Linked DNA regions of Drosophila melanogaster. The protein of the gene in region 1 interacts with the protein of each later gene in a pairwise test. Each region holds a gene or a part of one and is shown on either strand. Other genes may lie near its edges. The genes, in order: CG12811, CG18731, CG3386 and CG7065.

The links.
Region 2: the proteins of CG12811 (region 1) and CG18731 interact in a two-hybrid assay, tested with the Drosophila melanogaster proteins (one large-scale study listed by BioGRID).
Region 3: the proteins of CG12811 (region 1) and CG3386 interact in a two-hybrid assay, tested with the Drosophila melanogaster proteins (one large-scale study listed by BioGRID).
Region 4: the proteins of CG12811 (region 1) and CG7065 interact in a two-hybrid assay, tested with the Drosophila melanogaster proteins (one large-scale study listed by BioGRID).

What each region holds. Positions count from the first base shown.
Region 1 is NT_033777.3:10,046,698-10,050,591, forward strand, and holds CG12811 (uncharacterized protein), read right to left. Parts: upstream 2,101-3,894; 5' UTR 1,840-2,100; coding exon 1,720-1,839; intron 1,247-1,719; coding exon 1,144-1,246; intron 1,073-1,143; coding exon 684-1,072; 3' UTR 555-683; downstream 1-554. Other genes in the region: mtTFB2 (mitochondrial transcription factor B2), read left to right, coding at 1-17, 79-505; ohgt (ohgata), read left to right, coding at 2,599-2,620, 2,693-2,977, 3,043-3,682, 3,743-3,894.
Region 2 is NT_033777.3:29,723,345-29,726,199, forward strand, and holds CG18731 (uncharacterized protein), read left to right. Parts: upstream 1-1,682; 5' UTR 1,683-1,829; intron 1,830-1,878; exon of another isoform or gene 1,879-1,893; 5' UTR 1,894-1,910; coding exon 1,911-2,270; 3' UTR 2,271-2,346; downstream 2,347-2,855. Other genes in the region: Pcd (pterin-4a-carbinolamine dehydratase), read left to right, coding at 1-12, 94-244, 503-802; Naa40 (N(alpha)-acetyltransferase 40), read right to left, coding at 858-1,095, 1,152-1,522.
Region 3 is NT_037436.4:680,129-684,276, reverse strand, and holds CG3386 (uncharacterized protein), read left to right. Parts: upstream 1-1,806; 5' UTR 1,807-1,914; intron 1,915-1,957; exon of another isoform or gene 1,958-2,003; intron 2,004-2,083; 5' UTR 2,084-2,420; intron 2,421-2,490; coding exon 2,491-2,904; intron 2,905-2,966; coding exon 2,967-3,419; 3' UTR 3,420-3,615; downstream 3,616-4,148. Other genes in the region: ebd1 (earthbound 1), read left to right, coding at 1-1,211.
Region 4 is NC_004354.4:9,140,507-9,148,394, reverse strand, and holds CG7065 (uncharacterized protein), read right to left. Parts: upstream 5,903-7,888; 5' UTR 5,609-5,902; intron 5,534-5,608; 5' UTR 5,528-5,533; coding exon 3,448-5,527; intron 2,388-3,447; coding exon 772-2,387; 3' UTR 501-771; downstream 1-500. Other genes in the region: fh (frataxin), read left to right, coding at 1-24.

The DNA.
Region 1 (3,894 bases):
ATAATACCCAATTTAGAGTAGGTAACACAATCAAATCATCTGGGGTTATTTTTATAAATTCAATTATTATTTGTGTAGAAAGTGGGTTCCCGGCTGTGGACCTCGGCTTATCATTAATCCGAAGTCCTCCGAGTCCGTAACACCCATCTATCCAGATGAATTGCCCAAGAAACTACCACAGTACTCGTGCCAGAGTACTACAATGAGCACCAGAAACTACTATCCCGGCATCAACATCTACACACAGTTCGGAGATCTCCTGCCCAGTCAGATTCTGACGCTATTTAGTCAGTTTCGTCAGTGGCCGGAGTACGGCGAGAGCTCTTTCCTCGCCTCGCTGGAAAATGCGCTGCTCAAGCTGGAGACTGCCAATGACGAACCAAACCTAGAGGATGGCGTCACGTTGCCAGAAGAGGATGATGCCGAAGCAGATGAAATTATCGAAGAAGAAAGCCCTGTACCCGCCACCACTCCCGTCAAGAGGCGCAGGAAAGCCAGTTCTTAGTTGTACATAATAGCGTTTTGCTTGTGCAAGAAAAATAAAGAATTGCCTTCATTTTGAGAAATGGTATGTAATCATATTATATCTGTCTTAAACATGGAACAAATTCGCTATTCTTCACTGGCCTCCACACATTACCAAACAGAACACAATACATTTAAGCACATAATGTTAAAATCCTTTAAGGACACTTTCCCTGAGCCATTAGGCGACTGCCGCGTGCGCATTTCTCGGCCAAATCAACGTAGTATTCCGGCGGAGCCTGCTCCGTGTCCGAAATACGCGTCTCCAGTTGAACGGACAGCTTCACACAGTCCACCATCAAGTTGGTGGGATTCACGCCAAGTACAAAGGAAGCCTCCTGGTAAGGACACGGGTTTTCTTCCTTCTTGGTGTTTCCGAACTCATAGCATGTGTCGCGAATCATAAAGTGTCCGTCCCTGTTACATGGATTTCGTACGCACTTCGGGATGATCTCCTCCTTGTAGAGCACCAGAATCTGTCCAGCCTCACAGGGTCCCTGTCGGTAGGCCGGATAGCAGCCATCGGTCTCCGGGTAATACAGTGTGGCTATCGAAGGGGAAGTACCCATACGGAGATTATTATGTCATCGCCATGGTAGCTCCATTATGACCGCTCACCTGGCGCGCAGTCGCAAACCCAGTCGTTCTGCTTCTGCTGGTCCCCCGGATAAAGAAGCTGGTGCTTGGGGCATCGGGCTGGCGAATACAGTGGCTTGCGACCCTGTTGATGAGGAGAAAGCGGAGGGGTGTGAGGCAGGAATTCGATTGATTATTGCCAATGGGGCTTGCATACACTACCAAAACAGTCCCCGTATTTTGAAATTCACTTCAAACACACACTTTAGAAGTTTAAAGGTTTGAAACTCTCAAAGTCACCACAGTGATAAAATAAATGTATTTCTTATTTTTAACAAAAAAAAAAATTTTTCAATCACGTTCAACAGTATCCATACAATTAAAAGTCTGTTATTATAATTATTTAACTAGAACCTTAAGCTAGTTTTAAAATCAAAGCAATCATGAAATGTTTTTGAACATTGGTCACTACACAAAATTCCTAATTGGACTCCAACGACTTTCACTTCTGATTGGGAAGGGTATTCGGCGAAAGATGTTGCCCAGTTCCGGCTGGGTTTTCTCTTCCATTTTGGCGTTTCTTATCACAAATGTGGATTGTGTCTGGCTGCAGCTTACCGCAAGGTTGGCCTTCTTCTTATCAATGTCTTGATCCTCAACAAAGGCGATTTGAGCGTGTGCCACTTTCCCAATAAACGCAATAAGCGCGGCGATCAGCAAAAGTTGGGGATTGATCATTGTCCGTATAATCACTTGTTCATGTGATACTCACGGCAATTCAAACAAGTATGAGGCTGGCCAATCTTGACTTAATCTTAATCAATGGGAAACGAAGATCTTCGATAACGATAACGATCTTAGTTGGGTCCAGTTATGTTATTGTTTTACGTTTTCTCGGAAATATTCCAATATTCCAATTGGAAGTTTAGTGCGAATAACCAGAAAAGCAGAACAAAGTGAAATTAAAACATAGTCCAATAAGGGCCAGTTCCAATTGATATTGCTCTCCCGATTACATCCGCTCTTGCTAGTGATGCTCAATACTCAATCAATGCTCAGCTGTTTCTATCGATGAGTTGAAAAAAATAACTTTCTGATCATATAAATTTAAGCCAAGAGAAAAGGGAAAAACTTAAAAAAAATATCTGCACACTTACGTTTGCTTTTGAAATATTGGATTAAGAACTCCTTGTTAAGTAATGCTTAGTTATATTGTCTTCCTATGAGTTGTGGACTACCAAATTACTAAGTGTATCAGAAATTAAAATTGAAAATCGAATAATTTGTTATATAGAACGATAAGCATTACGAGTCTATTTTGGCGCCCAACTACCGAACATTTTCAAAATGTTGCCATTATTGGTTAGCACTGGTTAGCCAATCGCTAACTATCGAAAAGCTCCCATCTCTTATTTTCCTTTGTCAAAATAAAAACCAAATAAATATATATAAAATTCACCTGCAAAACGAAGCAACAAAAGACACTGTACGGCTCAAATGGACGAAGAGGAGAACTCAGGTGGGTGTGGCAGCATCATAGCACTCGCCAAATGTTCCCAATAACATATGTTCATCATATGAAACTGCGCAGAAATCAATTCTGTGCAAGCACGGGATGAAGATGTGCAATTGGAGGACCAACAGTCACAGGGGCTCCAGGATCGGCAGGTAGACGTGATAGAACAGGCTTGGAACAATGCAATGCCAGACGAGCCGTCACCGCCGGCAGAAGATGCCTTCCAAGATCCACTGGCCACCGATGGTGAGGGAGGGGATGCACTTGAGGCCATGGTAGAGAACGTTTTGCAGGACGACACAGCAAGCGAGGGCAGTCATCCCAGCAGTGACATGTCTCTGGAAAGTCCAGGAAGTGAAGGTTAGTTGGCTTACAATCGTTGTGCTGCACATTCCTACTTAACCCGCGTTTTCCATCCTTTCCAGATGATTCCGATCTGGAGAGCCTGCCCCATTGGATGATTCCGCAGAACCGACTGCGCTCCGCCGTAGACATGATGGTCTCGCAAGCCCGCAATCGGGATGGTGGAATCGCTGCACTGCTCAGTGGGGACAACTTCCTACAGCGAGTGCGTAGCATGGTCTTTAGCCAGGAGCGACGGCGCAGTCGCACAAGCGAGGAAACGAGCCAGGAGGCTGCCGAGCAGCCCGTTGATCCACCGCCACAGCAGCCACCTCGACCACCAATCGACATTGGCTTTGACACCAATCTGCCAGCGGAGCATTCATACTTCGGTAATCATTTGAGTCGCGTGCCCGGAGTGGACTACTTGGAGGTGGGCAGCGTCCATCACATGCTCATCTTCTTGCACCAGCACATCCTCTTTCCCGGCGAGGTGCTTCCCTTCATGATCGACGGCCGAATGTTTGACGAGGATATGCCCGGTCTGGACGGTCTGATCTTCGGTGTAAGCTTCCCGCGTTTGCAGCCGCCGGAGGACAACCCACACAAGTTGTATGGGGTCACGTGTCAGATCTACGAAAGGGGCGAAAGCGGCCGAGGATTGGTGTTCTACAAATCACGAGCACTGCAGCGCATTGTCATCAACTGCGATGATATAAAAGGGTGAGTCTTGACTATACGGATCACCTTAAATTCTCCATGATTAATCCCATATCTTTTCAGGTCACCGCAGTACATTGCTCGCAATCCAACTAGCAAATGCTTCAGCAAAGTCAAAATATTGCCCGAGTATTTCCTGCCCGAACCGCTCCAAACTGTTGACATGGGCTCGATGGCCAGATTTCGGGATATACCCTCGATGCGCGACAAGTATC
Region 2 (2,855 bases), about 20 Mb from region 1:
AACGAGTAGAAGGTATTCAAAAGGTGGAATGTGCGGAAGGGGAGGGAGGGGCAAAAATACCAAACTTAAATCTGAGCTTTATTTTTCGCGCAGCCTGTCGCAAATCTCAGTTCTGTATTCGCCAGCAGCGAGAGAAGCAGCACGGGCAGCAACTGGTGGCAGTGCGAATCTCCGGAGAATCCACAACACCCCAACCACAGAAGCAACAGCAACCGCAATCACAGCGAAAAAGCGCAAAATGGTGGTAAGTACGAGCCGAAAGTGAGTTTGAGATCAAGGTGAACGGAGTCTCAGCGAAATCGAGTGGTTCCCTTATCGCCTCCAACTGAAATCAATCGACCACCCAAGGACAGGTTTGGACTTTCGGAAAGTGCTTTATGCCCTAACAAATAGAATCACTGTGATTTTGGCCAGAAATGGAGGTTTTTCGCTCACAAATTATTTTGTATATATATCGTATGAATCAATAACACTCACATACTTGTTGCTCGCTGCCCTTTAGGTACGACTAAACGAACAGGAACGCGCCGAGAAGCTGCAGCCCCTCCTGGACGCCGGCTGGACTTTGGTGGAGGGGCGCGACGCCATCTTCAAGCAGTTCGTGCTGAAGGACTTCAACCAGGCCTTCAGCTTCATGACGGGCGTGGCATTGCTGGCCGAGAAGATCAACCACCATCCCGAGTGGTTCAACTGCTACAACAAGGTGGACGTGACCCTGTCCACGCACGACGTGGGCGGTCTCAGTTCGCAGGACATTCGCATGGCCACGCACTTGGAGACCACGGCCAATTTGTTGAAATAAACGCATTGTTATACTAGTTGCTAAATATCTATAATCTTCGGTGTCCAATAAATACTCAGCTTAGCATCGATTTGCTAAAGATTTGGTAGTCGGCTTGTTCCAGGACATCTGGCGAGATCTCGTCCTTGACGTAGCCCAGTTGCTTGAAGAAGGAAATGGAGGCTTCGTTGTTGTTGAGAACGGTCAGCATGACCTTTTCCAGATGCCACAGGCGAGCGCAGTCCTCCAAAGTGCTCATGATGAACTTTCCCAGGCCTTTTCTACGATACTCTGCAGCCACTTGCATTTCGTAACTGAAAGGAAGTTCTACGTAATTAATGCATAAGGGCTTTACTTATGGAATACCCACCAATACAGGACACAGTCCCCGTGATCCATGTCGAAGCGGAACATTGCGTAGGCCACGTTCTCCTTCTTTTCGTTCTGGGCCACCAAGTAGCGAGCCCAGTTCTTGTTCAGCTCGGCGGCTTTGATCTTGGGCTGCCAGCCCATCTTGAGTTGCTTGTAATAGGGTCCCACGTTCGTCTCGGCCAGCTTAAAGGCCCATTTCAGCAGTTTGGAGTCCGCATCCGACTTCGCTCGGCAGATGAGTTTGAATTCCTCTCCGCTGGGGGCTTTGTAGCTTTGGTAGCTCAGAGATTCGAGGGGATTCTTGGCCCTGGCAGCCGTCTCCACAAATCTCTGTTTGGCGCCCTGACTTAGATCGTCCTGATTCCGCATTGTTTGCTTAAAATTTTGTAAAAATGGCAATTCGACTAAAAATATGCCGCGCAAATTAGGGATGGCACACAGTGGTAAACAAACTATTATTGCTTATATAGAGACTGCTATCGATTACACAGATTAACTTTAATTGGTATTTTTGAAATAATAATTACTGGCCACTTCATTATTTACCACTGTTTTGTAAACAATTGCAGAAAATTTATTGAATTCCATTTTACGGCTTATATACGGGTTTTAGACTAAATTGTTAGTACGATAATTAACCTTAATATCACTAAGACTACGAGACTCGATACATCAGGTAACCCCACATATTGAATCCCCAATTCAACAAGTGCTGACGTTTCCAGTTCTCTAAATTGTAGTTTCAAGGAAACAGACGATGTTTAGGAAGTCCAGGCCCAAAGTAGAGCCTCCACCCACGGCTCCCAGTGTAGAGGAAATGCTGGCGGACATGGAAACGTTCGAGGTCAATCAGCCTACGATAAGCGGATCTACAGACAACTTGGACTTGGAGCACGCTTTCATGACTGAACCAGAGAATCTTCCCCTTTCAACATGGTGGCAGATGTTCGACGAGTACGATCAGAAGGTGAAGAAACTGTCGGCCACCGTGGGAGATCTGGAGACCCAACGAAATCAGTTAAAAGAATGCTATGCGAAGCTGGAAAATAACGCGGATAAACTGAGAACGGACATCCAAAAGCAGCAGGCACTGGTCAAAGAAGCCCTTAAATGTTAATCTATCATTAAGCTACCTTATCTTAAACTATTGTTGAATGCACGAGCGGGTAACAAGTAAAACCTAAAAACTCCACAATCTTGAGAATATTCACTTTAGGCCCACTGCACTGTGGTTCGAGTCCCGGCTAGAACTTCAGCTCAAAGTACGTTTGCGGTATATTTTTCAACCGCGAGGTGTATTTTTCTGAGCCTGACATTTTAACGGTCAATGCGCGGTGTGGTCACACTGCTTGGTGGATGGTAAGGTGGTCGAAAAAAGTTGTTAAAAGCGCAGAAAAAGCAATTGTAATGCAATTGCTCCAGTGACTGTGAAAAGTAAGCAGCCAAGCAAATAAGTTAATCAAAACATAGATCAACAGATCAGAAAGTCCTAAAACGGCACGATTAGTCGTGAAATTCGCTCGGTTTAGGCCTGGATGATTGGGCAGAAGAACAGGTTTTAGGCCGTGGCAACAACGAAAAAAAAAAAAAAATAGAAAAAAAAACCTGCGACTGGCTTATACCATTTACGCCATTAACGGAGGTCGATGGTTATCCCTGTGTGTGTGTGGTGTGTGTTTGGTCCAATATATTTGGCTAAATT
Region 3 (4,148 bases), on another chromosome or scaffold:
AGGACTTCAGCATCTCCGACGGACTCATCCAGAAGATGGCGCTGCAGTTCAAGAGCTCCATGAACCTGGCACATTTCTTTCCGCACCAGGAGTGGTGCGACAAGTTCAGACGCACCTACAGCATCCAACACAGCGACACCAGACTGTTGAAGATAGGCTACACGCAGGGCTACTCGGTGCAGATCAAGGACATCGTCAAGGACGTCATGTCGGAAAGCATGCCGGAAAGTGGGCCACGGAACGGCGAGGAGGATGACGAAGAGGTCAGCTTGGGCAGCCCGGTGAGCAGCCATCCCCGCAGCTATGTAGAAGACGAGGATGACGAGGTGGATGTCGACGGTGGCGGTATTAGCGGCGAGGATGATCTGGAGGAGGAGCCTGATGTCAAGCCCTCACTAAGCGAACTAAATTTTGCCAGGGCTCTGAAGCCCTTGCCGCCTCTAGTTAGACTGCCCCTCCAAGCTAACACACCGCCAGGCACCACTCAAAAAGTTCTCCTGGCCACACCCATTGTTCCGACGCAAGCGGGCGGACAGCCCATGACCATGACCATCATACCACTAGCCACGCTCGCTCAGAGCATCACCAAGATTCCTGCCCCACAGCAGCAGGACAAAGGACCGGTGGTACCGCCGCCCAAACTAGAGATCAAGCAGGAAAAGGAAATCAAAGTGGAGCCCAAGGACCCGGAAGAGCTCCTGGCGAAGCAGCCCGAGGCGGAGCTCCAGGAGAACGATGACCGAGCACAAAGGGAAAAGGATCTTGAAATTCCGCCTACAGTGCACATAAAAGTGGAGCCAGAGGCTGAGCTGGAATCGGAACTGGACCAAGACCCAGCGGATCTCGATGAAGACGCGAACAATGGTCGCTCCAGTGTCACCTCGCTGGCCGAGGTTCTGGCGGCCAATGTGGAGGACGAGATGGAGTACATCGAGCAGATGCGGCAGCGAAAGGTGAGTTCGCCTGCGGCAGTTGAAAACTCGCTGAATCCTCGCCAGGGCACCAAACGTCGCTATGAGTCCGCCCAAGACGATAACAACAATGGGGGATCCGGCCAAGAAAGTGGGTCCAGTGTCATCAGCTGCGCCGATGCACGCAAGTACCTAAAGCTACTCGAGGAGTTTGCTCTGTACAAGGAGAACTACCGGCTGATTGAGCTGATCACACGAGCCGATGAAGTGATGCGCGAAATGGATGACAATGTGCCGTAGAATGCTCCAAACAGTGAGCGCCACATGAAGGAGAACGAAGAGGAGGAGGAATAGCTGCAGCCAAAGAGTGTAATCTTTGCAAACTGATGCATCTAGAAGATGCACATCGGTCGGATGCAATCAATCATTAGATCTAAGGTGAACATAATTTGTATTCGAACCAAATAAACGCAATCAAACCAAGTTTCTAGTGAGTAAATTTGATGTGGTTATAAAATATTGTGATGAATGAGCTAATGTCAATTGTCAATTGGTCTGTTGGAACTATTTTATACTATGCTCCCGACTGTAACCCTATTATTTTGACCTGTGTTGTATGTTATAACAGCTACATTTCCTTCCACACATTCTCGCCAGAACAAAAAGTCGGCTAAATATACGCGCTAATTGTTTTTTTTTCGAAGTGCGCATGTCTGCCCTTAGTTGGGCTTCTTCTTCTTTTTTTGCCGGGCGGGAGGTCACCCACACACACACACACAGGCGAGCCAGAAGAGAGAAAGAGACAAAGCGCATGTAAATGAAAATAACGGAACAAAGAGGTCAATCATTGAATTCTATCTTGTTAAAGAGAGAATTTCCCTGATTCAGAGTGTATTTTAAAATTTTCCCTGATCAGTGTGAAATTTTGGAGAGCGAGTTAAAATAAATTCATACTTTGCTGATGATTTCCTTATGCCGACAATCTTGATTGGGGCTAAGATGGGTAAGTGCGCAGGTCTGCCCTTAGTTAAAGTCTGAATATTTGCTGCTTTCCTCTCCCGCACACACGTGCACCTAAATTGCGGGGGAGCTGTAAGTCATTGTTTAATCCATATAATTAAAACTAATACAATAAGAAAATCGGATTCAGCTACGTTTTTGTTTTCAAGCAGTATGTGGGAATCAAATGATTTATTGTGCATTTCCACACGCACACATGCACATGCCCATCGGGTCAGTCGGCTAATCAATCACTCAATCGAGACACATGCACACACACCCGCCCGTTTCGGCTCTACATCAATTCAGTTTGTGATTGTCGCTTGAGGAGAGCATAACGCCGGTCGTCAGGTGGTGGAAATAAGTTTATACATATATGAGCATCCAGATCCAGAGCAACTACAACAATCAGTGGGAGTATGTGAGGTGTTTACCAACACTAGACGCTAGAAGTGGCAACTCTGGCCAACTGTAATCAACAACAGCTGATTGGCTTGAACAACAGAAAAAGTAAATATTTATGTTTATATGCCAATGGATATGGTAATTAAATGTATCTTTCTGAATGCTGTGCTGGCAGATGGCAGCTGCACTGCCAGATCGGTTTAGTGCGGGCAAACGGCAGTTCTGGCGCGAGTTTCTGGCCCTTTATCAGGGAATGCCGGAGCTGTGGGACGTCCACCACCTCAATTACCGGAACAAGGAGCTGCGAAACCGGGCGTATGAGTTGCTGGAGAGGAAACTACGGGAGATACAGCCGAACGCTACGCGCACAGAAGTCGGCAGGCGCATCAACATATTTCGCACCAATTACAGGCGGGAGCAGATGCGAATCCTCAAGCAGAAGGAGCTGGGGCTGCACTCCGATCTCTGTAAGCCGACGCTCTGGTTCTACGACTACATGGGATTTCTCCTCACCCAGGAGACCTTCCAGCACAGGACCAGAAAAGGTCGGGGCGGCAGACAGAAGCAAGATTTTCGCAGGGAAAAGGATGTAAGATTACATTCTCAATGATTGAATGATACTTAAAAATAAATAAATTGTGTACCTCATAGGACAAATACCCCTTGAAAAATCCAGATCTCAACACGGAAAGCGTTTGTGATTGGCCGATCAAGGATGATAACGCTTTCAACTACCAGTCCGAACCGACCGCCCCGCAATCCGAAGAGGGTTCCCTGCTCAGTCCAAAATTGGAGATCATAGAGCCGGAAGAAGGGCAGTGTGAAGTCAAAGAGGAAAATAGTTTGGGAAATTCATTGGAAACGAAAGAACCCACATCCTCGATTCAAACAGATCCCGAGAACGAACGAGGAACTGCACCCATGCAACTCAGCGAGTCCTCCGAAGTTCTGGCCAGATCCTGGGCTATCCAGTACGAGGAAATGTCCCCCACGCAACGGATTCTGGCACGAAAGGCCATCGCAGACATCCTGTTTGAGGGATGCATGGGCAACCTGCGAGTAAACCGCGGCGAACAACAGAGCACCGTGGCAAATCATTTCTAAACCCTTGACTTCTACTATTACGTCATTTGATATTCCTGCATTTGTCACTCTACGATTTAATGAACATCTCATTGAAGTCTTCAAAAAAACAGAACTAAGCATACGGCTCTAAAGAAAGTTCGAAATCACTCAGGCCATAATAACGATGAACGAGGCATTGCAAACTAGAAAACTAGAATTTAAGTACTACAAATACAAAATATGAAATGTCTCTTTATACAAAAAATTTCATCCAAGTATTTAAGTTTCCCGCCAAATCATAACAGGGTTGGAAATCGACTTTCACTCAAACGAATGTTTCACTCATAAAATGTAGAGATGAGAGTCTTATGTTGTGCGAACACGAACACCCAATGGGGTAATAATTTATTAAACGTTTTCTCGGAACTCGCTCATAAAATGTCATCGATTATTTTTACGTTAAATTAAAGAGTTGTTTAAGTTTTAGGTATGTTTGGTTGTTGTTTACCTGAGCTATCGGATGTACAATCCACTATCTAATTGTCACGCACACATCTCTCCCCTAATATTTTCTATCGTATGTGGTTGAAGTGGATAAAATAAGATTCGCCGTTACCTGAATTTGGTCAAGTGCTGCGCAGGCGCTGGTCCTTAAAAACCATTTGCGCATCGATTTTGAAGGAGTAAATATCGTAGGAAAGAAAGAAACTAATGCGATCTGTGGTAGGTGTTCTATATTTGGCTACATTCTACATTCCGCTTAGACTT
Region 4 (7,888 bases), on another chromosome or scaffold:
CTACGCCTGCCCTACTGTAGTTAATTCCGTGATTAGTTTAAATTCTCCTCCATAAAAAGTCGGTTGAAACGTTCGATTTTGATATATTTATTGTTCTTCATCTGTTGGCACAGTGGTCACTCGATATACATGGAACTGCTGCTGCTGCGGATGAGCAAAGGTATATACTTATACTTCCCTGGAGCTGTGAAGCTTAGCTTCTGGTATAAATGCTTTGCATTCGCTTATTCATTTATGTACGATTAGTTTTGGTTTCGAAGTTTAAATTTGTTGTTTTTGAGAGGAATAAACTTAAAAATCAGTTGTTTAATGTATAAATCAAATAATAATAATCAAATCACCATTGAAGAACATCATATGTAGCTATACATATTTTATTTTATTTTATTATTTGTCACTTGTACGTTCCATTTCGTTTATTTTTATTTCAATACACAGAATTCAGAACTCAAAGCTCCCCCAGCTAATAATTCCAAACGAAAGTCGATTAAAGTTGATTTCCGGAATTATTGTGTATGTTTATTCACGTGCTCTTCAGATTTATGTTTTCTGAATTCTATTGTTGTTCGGTGTTTTATAAACAAATGAAGGTAGTGATTATTTTCTTTTCTTTTTTTTGGCAGCAGCACACATGTATGGTAAAAAAAAAAATAATAAAAATCACTTGCCAGCTAGCAGATACACGGGCACTTCAAAGGGCGTTATTCTCGTTTCTACATTACGTTTAAATTGCATAACGTTAATAGTATGGATATCTAAGTCTACGACACTCTAGTGACGTCCACCGAACATGTTGTTAAAGTGCGGCTGCTGCTGCTGCTGCTGCTGCTGGGCACCCATAAAGTTCTGGGGCATCTGGTTGAAGGGCGGCTGTGGCGGCACATTGCTGGCCCACGGATTAGGGGGCGGACCCACGTAGCCACCTGGACCTGGTGGCACCATGCCGCCGTAGTTCTGCTGCACGCCATTGCCCGCAAACGGATGATAGCCGCCGTAGCCCTGCTGATTTGGATAGTGATTGGCATTCGGTCCGCCGCTCAAGCCGCTCATCAGTGGCTGTGCCTCCTGGCCAAAGTTGCGGCCATGCTGCTGCTGCTGCTGCTGCTGCTGCTGTTGCCCTGGATAGCCCGCATTGGAATAGCCCGCTCCGGGCTGCTTTTGGCCAAGATTTTGGCCTGGATTCTGACCCAAATTCGGTGCATTCTGCGCATTTGGCGCTCCATGCTGCTGGTTCATCATATAGTTGCGATTGCCACCCACGGGTGAACCTCCAGAAGTGCCATTCTTGCTTAAAGTGCCCATTAGATTGGCTATGATGTTCTCGGTGTCTTTTAGCGAAATCTTGGTCGCTGCTGCTGGCTTGAAAGTGAGCGCATTTGGCGATGATTCAACGCCTATAATGGGCGGCACTCCTGGCTTATTGTGTACACCAGCACCAACGACACCACCACCACCACCAGCACTAGCACTTCCATTCGAATCGCAGGCCTTCATCACCAAATCATCAAAGTTGTAATCATCATCTTCCTCGTCATCGTCATCGAGCATGATACTGGGCGTGTTCCGGCCGCGTCTCTGCTTATTGATGGGCATACTGGACATATCACGATCCAAATTGGGGCGCTGAGCGCTCAGCATGGAGTGACCCACTTTCGGAGCCGTGGCACTGGCGGAGCTGGCGGCCATGGCGGAGGAGGTTCTACCACCCATAACCGAAGCCTTGAACTTGGTAGCCGGTTTCGCCTTGCTAGCCCCACCAATTTTCACCACGCGCGCCAGGAAATCACTGCAGGACTCGCCATCGCCTCGGAGCTCCACCAGATTCACATACTTGCGCAGACGATCGACGCGCGACGGATCCTGTACCTCCAACTTGCGCAGATGGCCAATGAGATGAACCTGCTCCTCGTTCGACAAAAACTTAAAGTTCTGGAGTAGGGTCTGGAGATCTGAATCTGTTAGCGATTCCAAGCCAGTGCTGCCACCGACTGTATCGGCGGCTTGTACCTTGGCCGGTGCTCCCGTAGGTTTATTCACAATATCGACGGACTCCTTGTGCAGCTGATGCTCCACCTCCTTCATCAGCTCGTCCAGATCGATGCCCATGTCATCGGGCGACGGATTATTTTGCAGTCCGAGCTTTACCTTTATCTCCTCGAATTTCAGGCCGTTGTTGTTGTCCAGCTGGCGCCGCTGTTTGTCCGTCTTCATCAGCAGCGTTAGCATGTGTAGCAAGTTGTTCATATCGCCGGTGGACACATTATTGTAGCCGTTGAGTACCAAAGCATTGGCCAATTTGGGCGCCACCAAATTGCGATCGAAGGGCAGCTGTATGGGCGCCGGATTGGCATTTGCCTTAACCTTGACATCGACGGCATCGTTGGTACCTAGAGATCATCCGGTTACGGGTGGTTTGGGGAGGGAACAACACAAAGAAATCAATCAGTTAGGATTAACAGGTGAGAGTGTGTTTCTGTTTCAGATCCCGGCAGATGGAGGATCGTTATCGCACGAAGCTACGCAAATTACATTTATACTTATGGATGGTGTGGATGGCGATTGGACAGCTCACGGTTGGTTTCTTTACACTTGATTCACACACCCAGCAAAAATAAGGGAAAGCTTACCGAAAAACGATTAGGAACGATATCACCAGCGATTCGACCAAAGAGTCTATCCAAATATACGATATAATTACTATATTATCATAAATACAACATAGAAGGAAGACCTTATGACCATTTATGTTTCTCATTGCAAGCAGGTCTTTTTAATATCAATTTAACCCTTTTTGAACCCAAAGTAAAGGTCTTAAAAATAGGTTTCTTAAATTCGAAAAATCCTACGAATTGCAGAGACAAGACCAGCAATTCAGAACACGCTTTATATATATATATGTATACTTATAATATTGTTTAAAATGGTAATAAAACACAGCGCTATTTTGTATTATTTCAAAAATACTCGCTCAGAAGATTTCGTTTATGTTTTAGTGAGAAAGAAGAAATGTGAAATGAGATTGTGATCCCAATTCATACAACAGCCAAAGTCAAAGATTCTTTATTTCATAAGGTGCTAAACTTAAAACGTAACTAAATGTTTAACCGCAGAGTTTAGTAGACTAAAGTGGGGAGTATCTAATGTACATATGTATATATTTCTTTATCACCAGCACATAAAAAAGGTTCCTTTCGAAAAAGGAGAATAGAAATATTTCGAATGAAGAATCTAAAGGTATTCCACCGAATGGCACAAAACTCACAATAAACTCTGCAACTTTGCATAAAAAGCCGTTGAAAACGCGCGAAAAACGAACGATTGTTCCGATGGGTAACCCTTTTTTTGATTTGATTTGTTTGGTTTACTTACCTCCTGATTTCTAACCGCGACCGCGAAAAAGAGCGAGAGAGACGGATACGGATTGAGCGGGTTTGGTGGTGGACTTACCTTTGAAGGTCGCCTGATAGATGATTTCGGCTATGTTCGTGATTAGTTTCTTGATCACGCGCACCTTTTGCGGATCGTCCAGTACCTCGGCAATGAGAATGCCCTTAAGCTTCTCCTTTGTGGTCTCGAGGAACACACAGTTGTCTTCGTTTCGCAGCAAATCTTCAGCTGCATTTGGCTTTACCAACTCCATGGCCAGTGCCTTGCTAAGCAAATTGAGCGCCTTGGGTCCCAGGCTGCCCAGATGCTCCTCGACGGCGGACAGCATGCGCAAGACACTAACGACAGTCAGTGGTCCCTCCTCAATGGGCTCCGATGCCTCCTTCTCCTTCTCCTTGTTGGACGAAGCGGTGGGCGAAATCGAGCTCGTCTTGGTCACTTTGTACTCGGGATATACGCGGGAATCCAGCACGCGGAACGTCTCCACAGACTCATAGCCGCGCGATGATCGAGCATAGCCCTCGTTGCGGTGATAGTACTCGGAAGAGCGTTCGCGCTCACGCTGCAAACTGTGACGACCACCGAAATCCCTGGACGACGAGCCGCGCTCTTTGGATGCTGGTTCACGACCACGACCGCGGCCACGATAGTGGGCCGGCGAGCGAGACCGGTGTCGCATGCTGCGCGAACGCGAGCGCGTAGATCCTCGATTATAGCTGCGACGCGGCGAACGACTGCGTGAGCGACGCACGGCACGACGTCCGCCGCGCTTGGGGGACAACGAACGAGAGATGGAGCGGCGTTTGTGGGAGTGACGACTACGAGATGGAGGACTATCAACATCATCATCGCTGATATCGATGACGGCGTCGGGTAGTTTGCTTGTCGCAACAATCGGACGATTGTTGCGAAAATTCGGCTTCGTTTTGCGACAATTGTCGGAATTGGTGGTGGCAGGCGCTCTACGCGGACTGGCCACACGGATCTTGTAGCGCTCCATTAGCTCCAAGGTCTTCTCTTCGTCCTCGTCGCCCAGCTTGAACTTCTCTTTGAGATCTTTCTTTATTTTATTCACCGCAATGTCGAACAGTACGATGCGACGATCTTTCCAGTAGCTAATCCACTCCGGCTTATAGTCGTATTGATTCGGATCGCATTTCTTCTCCTCCTGCAGCTGCTTGTAGCGTCGATTCCAGAACTGTTTCCACTCATCCGGATAATCGGGATGTTTCTCGGGATTTGATTCGTACATCTCTGTATCACTGCGCAGCTGCTTGAGCTGTATTTCCAGCATGCAACGGAACTTCTCCCACTTGTAGCGCTCCTGGGAAATTTTAGATGCCTGAATGGCCAGCTCCTTGGGCGTGGGCAAATGCTGCGTTTTGTTCACGCCACCTGCAGGTGGTGGCGATTGATTTTTACTACGCCCGCCGGCATCTTCCGACAGATTATTCTTCTGTCGCCCCTTTGGCACCGGGACAACCGAAGCTGTTGAACCGCCAAAGCTCTCATCATCACTGGATATGGCATCCAAGGCAATTATATTTCCATCATCATGCTGCTTGTTGCTATCCCCGGTTCCGTCGACGTTCTTCTTCATGCTGCTCTTGATGGACTCATCCGGTTTGAGTTCGCGGATCACGCGCTGAGCTTCTTCGGAAAAATCTGATCCGGCACACTCATCGAAATGAAAGCTATCCCGCACCTGACTGCACATTTTGGAGCGATAACGGCGAAAATCATCACCAGTTGCAGTTATTAGATTGCGTGACCTGCCGAAATGCTTCTCAATGCACTTGACCAAATTCCCAGTGGCAGTCACCAGATCCCCAGAGCTGTTGGGCGTGCGCTTTAGCTTTTGCAGCTCCTTGTAGGCCTTCTGGAAATGGGTTTGCAGGTACTTGGTGCGGTGCGCCTGCGATGTCCAGTGCACAAAGACGTTGCGTCCATCCGAGCACGTTTGGCAGAGCACACAGAAGTAATTCGGACGCAGTTGGGCCGGCTCGTGCAGCTCGATGGTGTATTCGGTGCCGATCAGTGGTCCGGCTGTGTAGCTCTCGATCTGCTTTTGAATGACCGCCGTGCGGGACACGTCCTCCTCGAAACCGGGCGGTACCGGCTCGCCCGGCAGGAAGCTCATCGTTTCCTGCAGATGGGTATGGGCATCAGGCCAAAAGAAGAGAACGCCAATGAACGAAAATGGTCTAGGATCAGTACTTACCTTGGTCTGTCTCTCACTTTATTTCCGTATCAAAGCGAAGCCTTCTGATTTTCCAATTTTCTTGTTCACTTTTTTGCGCACACGAATGTTTCGCATTCGCGTTCACTTATCGACAAAAGGGGGCGGCTTATGCCCGCGTGCTTATCGTTACTTACTATGGCTGCGTTAGGTAATTTAGATTATTTATCTACGTCTTTGACATCCACCAGCTTCGTTGATCACTTGTTACGAAAATTGAGTCCAAGTCGAAGCCTTTTTGACAATTTTCTTTTCTTTTTCCAGCTTTCCAGTGTGACCGTCCGTCGTTCGGGCGATAACAACGCCAACGATAGCTGAATATATCGATTGTTTGCCAGCACTTTTAAAAGTGAAACAAAAAAAAAACCAATTCTTTTTTATGATTATTAACAGAATATTTACATCCATACATAGAGTATTGTTGTTTTTTTTCAGAGCGCTGTAATGGAAATATGGCTCTAAACGCGCTTTCACATTTTTTATACCAATTTCCGTTTGGTTGCATTCAAAATATTAAAAATGGTATAAAATTCCAAATAACTGTTTCCAACTGAAAGTGGTTTGTCCTTAGTTCTATTGTGGATTTAATAAGGCAAATAAGGCCAAAATTTTTTTTTTTCAATGCGGGATTCAAATAATCTTATTTTGGTAATGGTAAAATATTGATTTCGTTTAGAATTTTTATTTTATAATCAAATTTAAAGCCTTTAGGGTTAGGGATATATTTCGTTAATATTTAATGGATTTTTATTTCGAATATTTGCTTATATTTTCTAACTTCAGTGTGACATGGAAAACATGCTTTCGTCATTTGGGCAAAAAATAAAAAAAAAAACACACACACTTCTTGTGTTTCTGCTCATGAGCCCATAAATATTTACATGTGTGGATATGCGGAGTCATTATCTTTCACCCGAAACATAATCTCCGGCCGAGTGCAAATTGTTCTCGCCTCCGCCGCAAGAATGATGGACTTCTATGGATTGGTTCTGCGATGTGGGATGTTCAATGTTGGATGTGTTTCTGATGGCGTCGCCGCAGCTGGCTTAAATCAATCCCAGCTCCCGTTCATTATTTTTTATTCACTGTATGTATGTATGTATGTAGGTATTTTCCAGCTGAAGCGGGAGCATTAATATCATTGGGTCCCAAGGGATTGGCCACATGTGCAGTTTGCCGGTTTGCCGGCCGCCGAGGACAAATGTCAGCGAACGGGACGCGGTTTTTCACATTTTCAGCGATTTCCACGAACCGAGCCCACATCCCAACCGCCCTGGGCTGTGCAGTGGAACCACCCTAATGTGAAGTCAGGGAATTCTAGCGTATATGCTTGCATACTTCTACTGAGCACCTGTATGTAGCTAGAATTTCTTTCCATGAATTTCTTACCAGATGGCTGGCAATTTCCGCTCTAGCGAGGCCGCACTGTGCGCGATATGTGTGATAGATGTAACACGTATCCTGGGAGTGGATGAAGGGCGCATTAATCGCCGCACGATGAGCACACTGATATGGCTGTCGCAGATGATAATGGCAATACAACTGACTGCACAATGAGCTGACCATATGCGCACATAGACAATAAAATACGAATGCGAATGCGAGTGTGAGTATATGCCACCCCATTTTTGAAGGCCGCCCCGGTGCATTTGACAGTGGGCGAAGTTGCGCTTCATGTGGATGCGGATGTAGCCAAGGACGAGGATGAGGATGAGGATGAGGACGAGTAGTGGGATTGGGAGTGGGATGTGGCAAGTAGTAGGCATTGGACAAACGTAGCACATTTAATGAACATGCCGACATGAGTTATGGCTCGTTTGTTCGACTTTTCTTTTATTTTTTCTCTTTTTTGGTCAGTAGTTGAGCTACCCTTGAAGTGGGCATATGTACATAAACAATTCAGGCGATTTGATTTTATTCACCAGATCGAATTACGGGTGGAAACACTTCAGTGGTTGATTTCGAACATGTGCCAGTTTCGAACAAACGTTTTTGAAGCATCTGATTAAATGCCGCTTGATAGATGATACCAATTATTCAAAAGCTGTCTAAAAGTAGACTTTAAATTCGCAGTAAGTGCATAGTTCATTCGAAATGCATGCGTGCTCGTGCTTAATTGCCCCTTGTTCTTTTTTTTTTTTTATTTTTTTGACAGCGAAATATGGCAAATCGGGCACACAGCTGCTGGTTGACATCCCATTTGGTGATCTATCTGCGCGCTGCGAATGCAAATGATATTTCGCATTAACTTTGATGGAGATG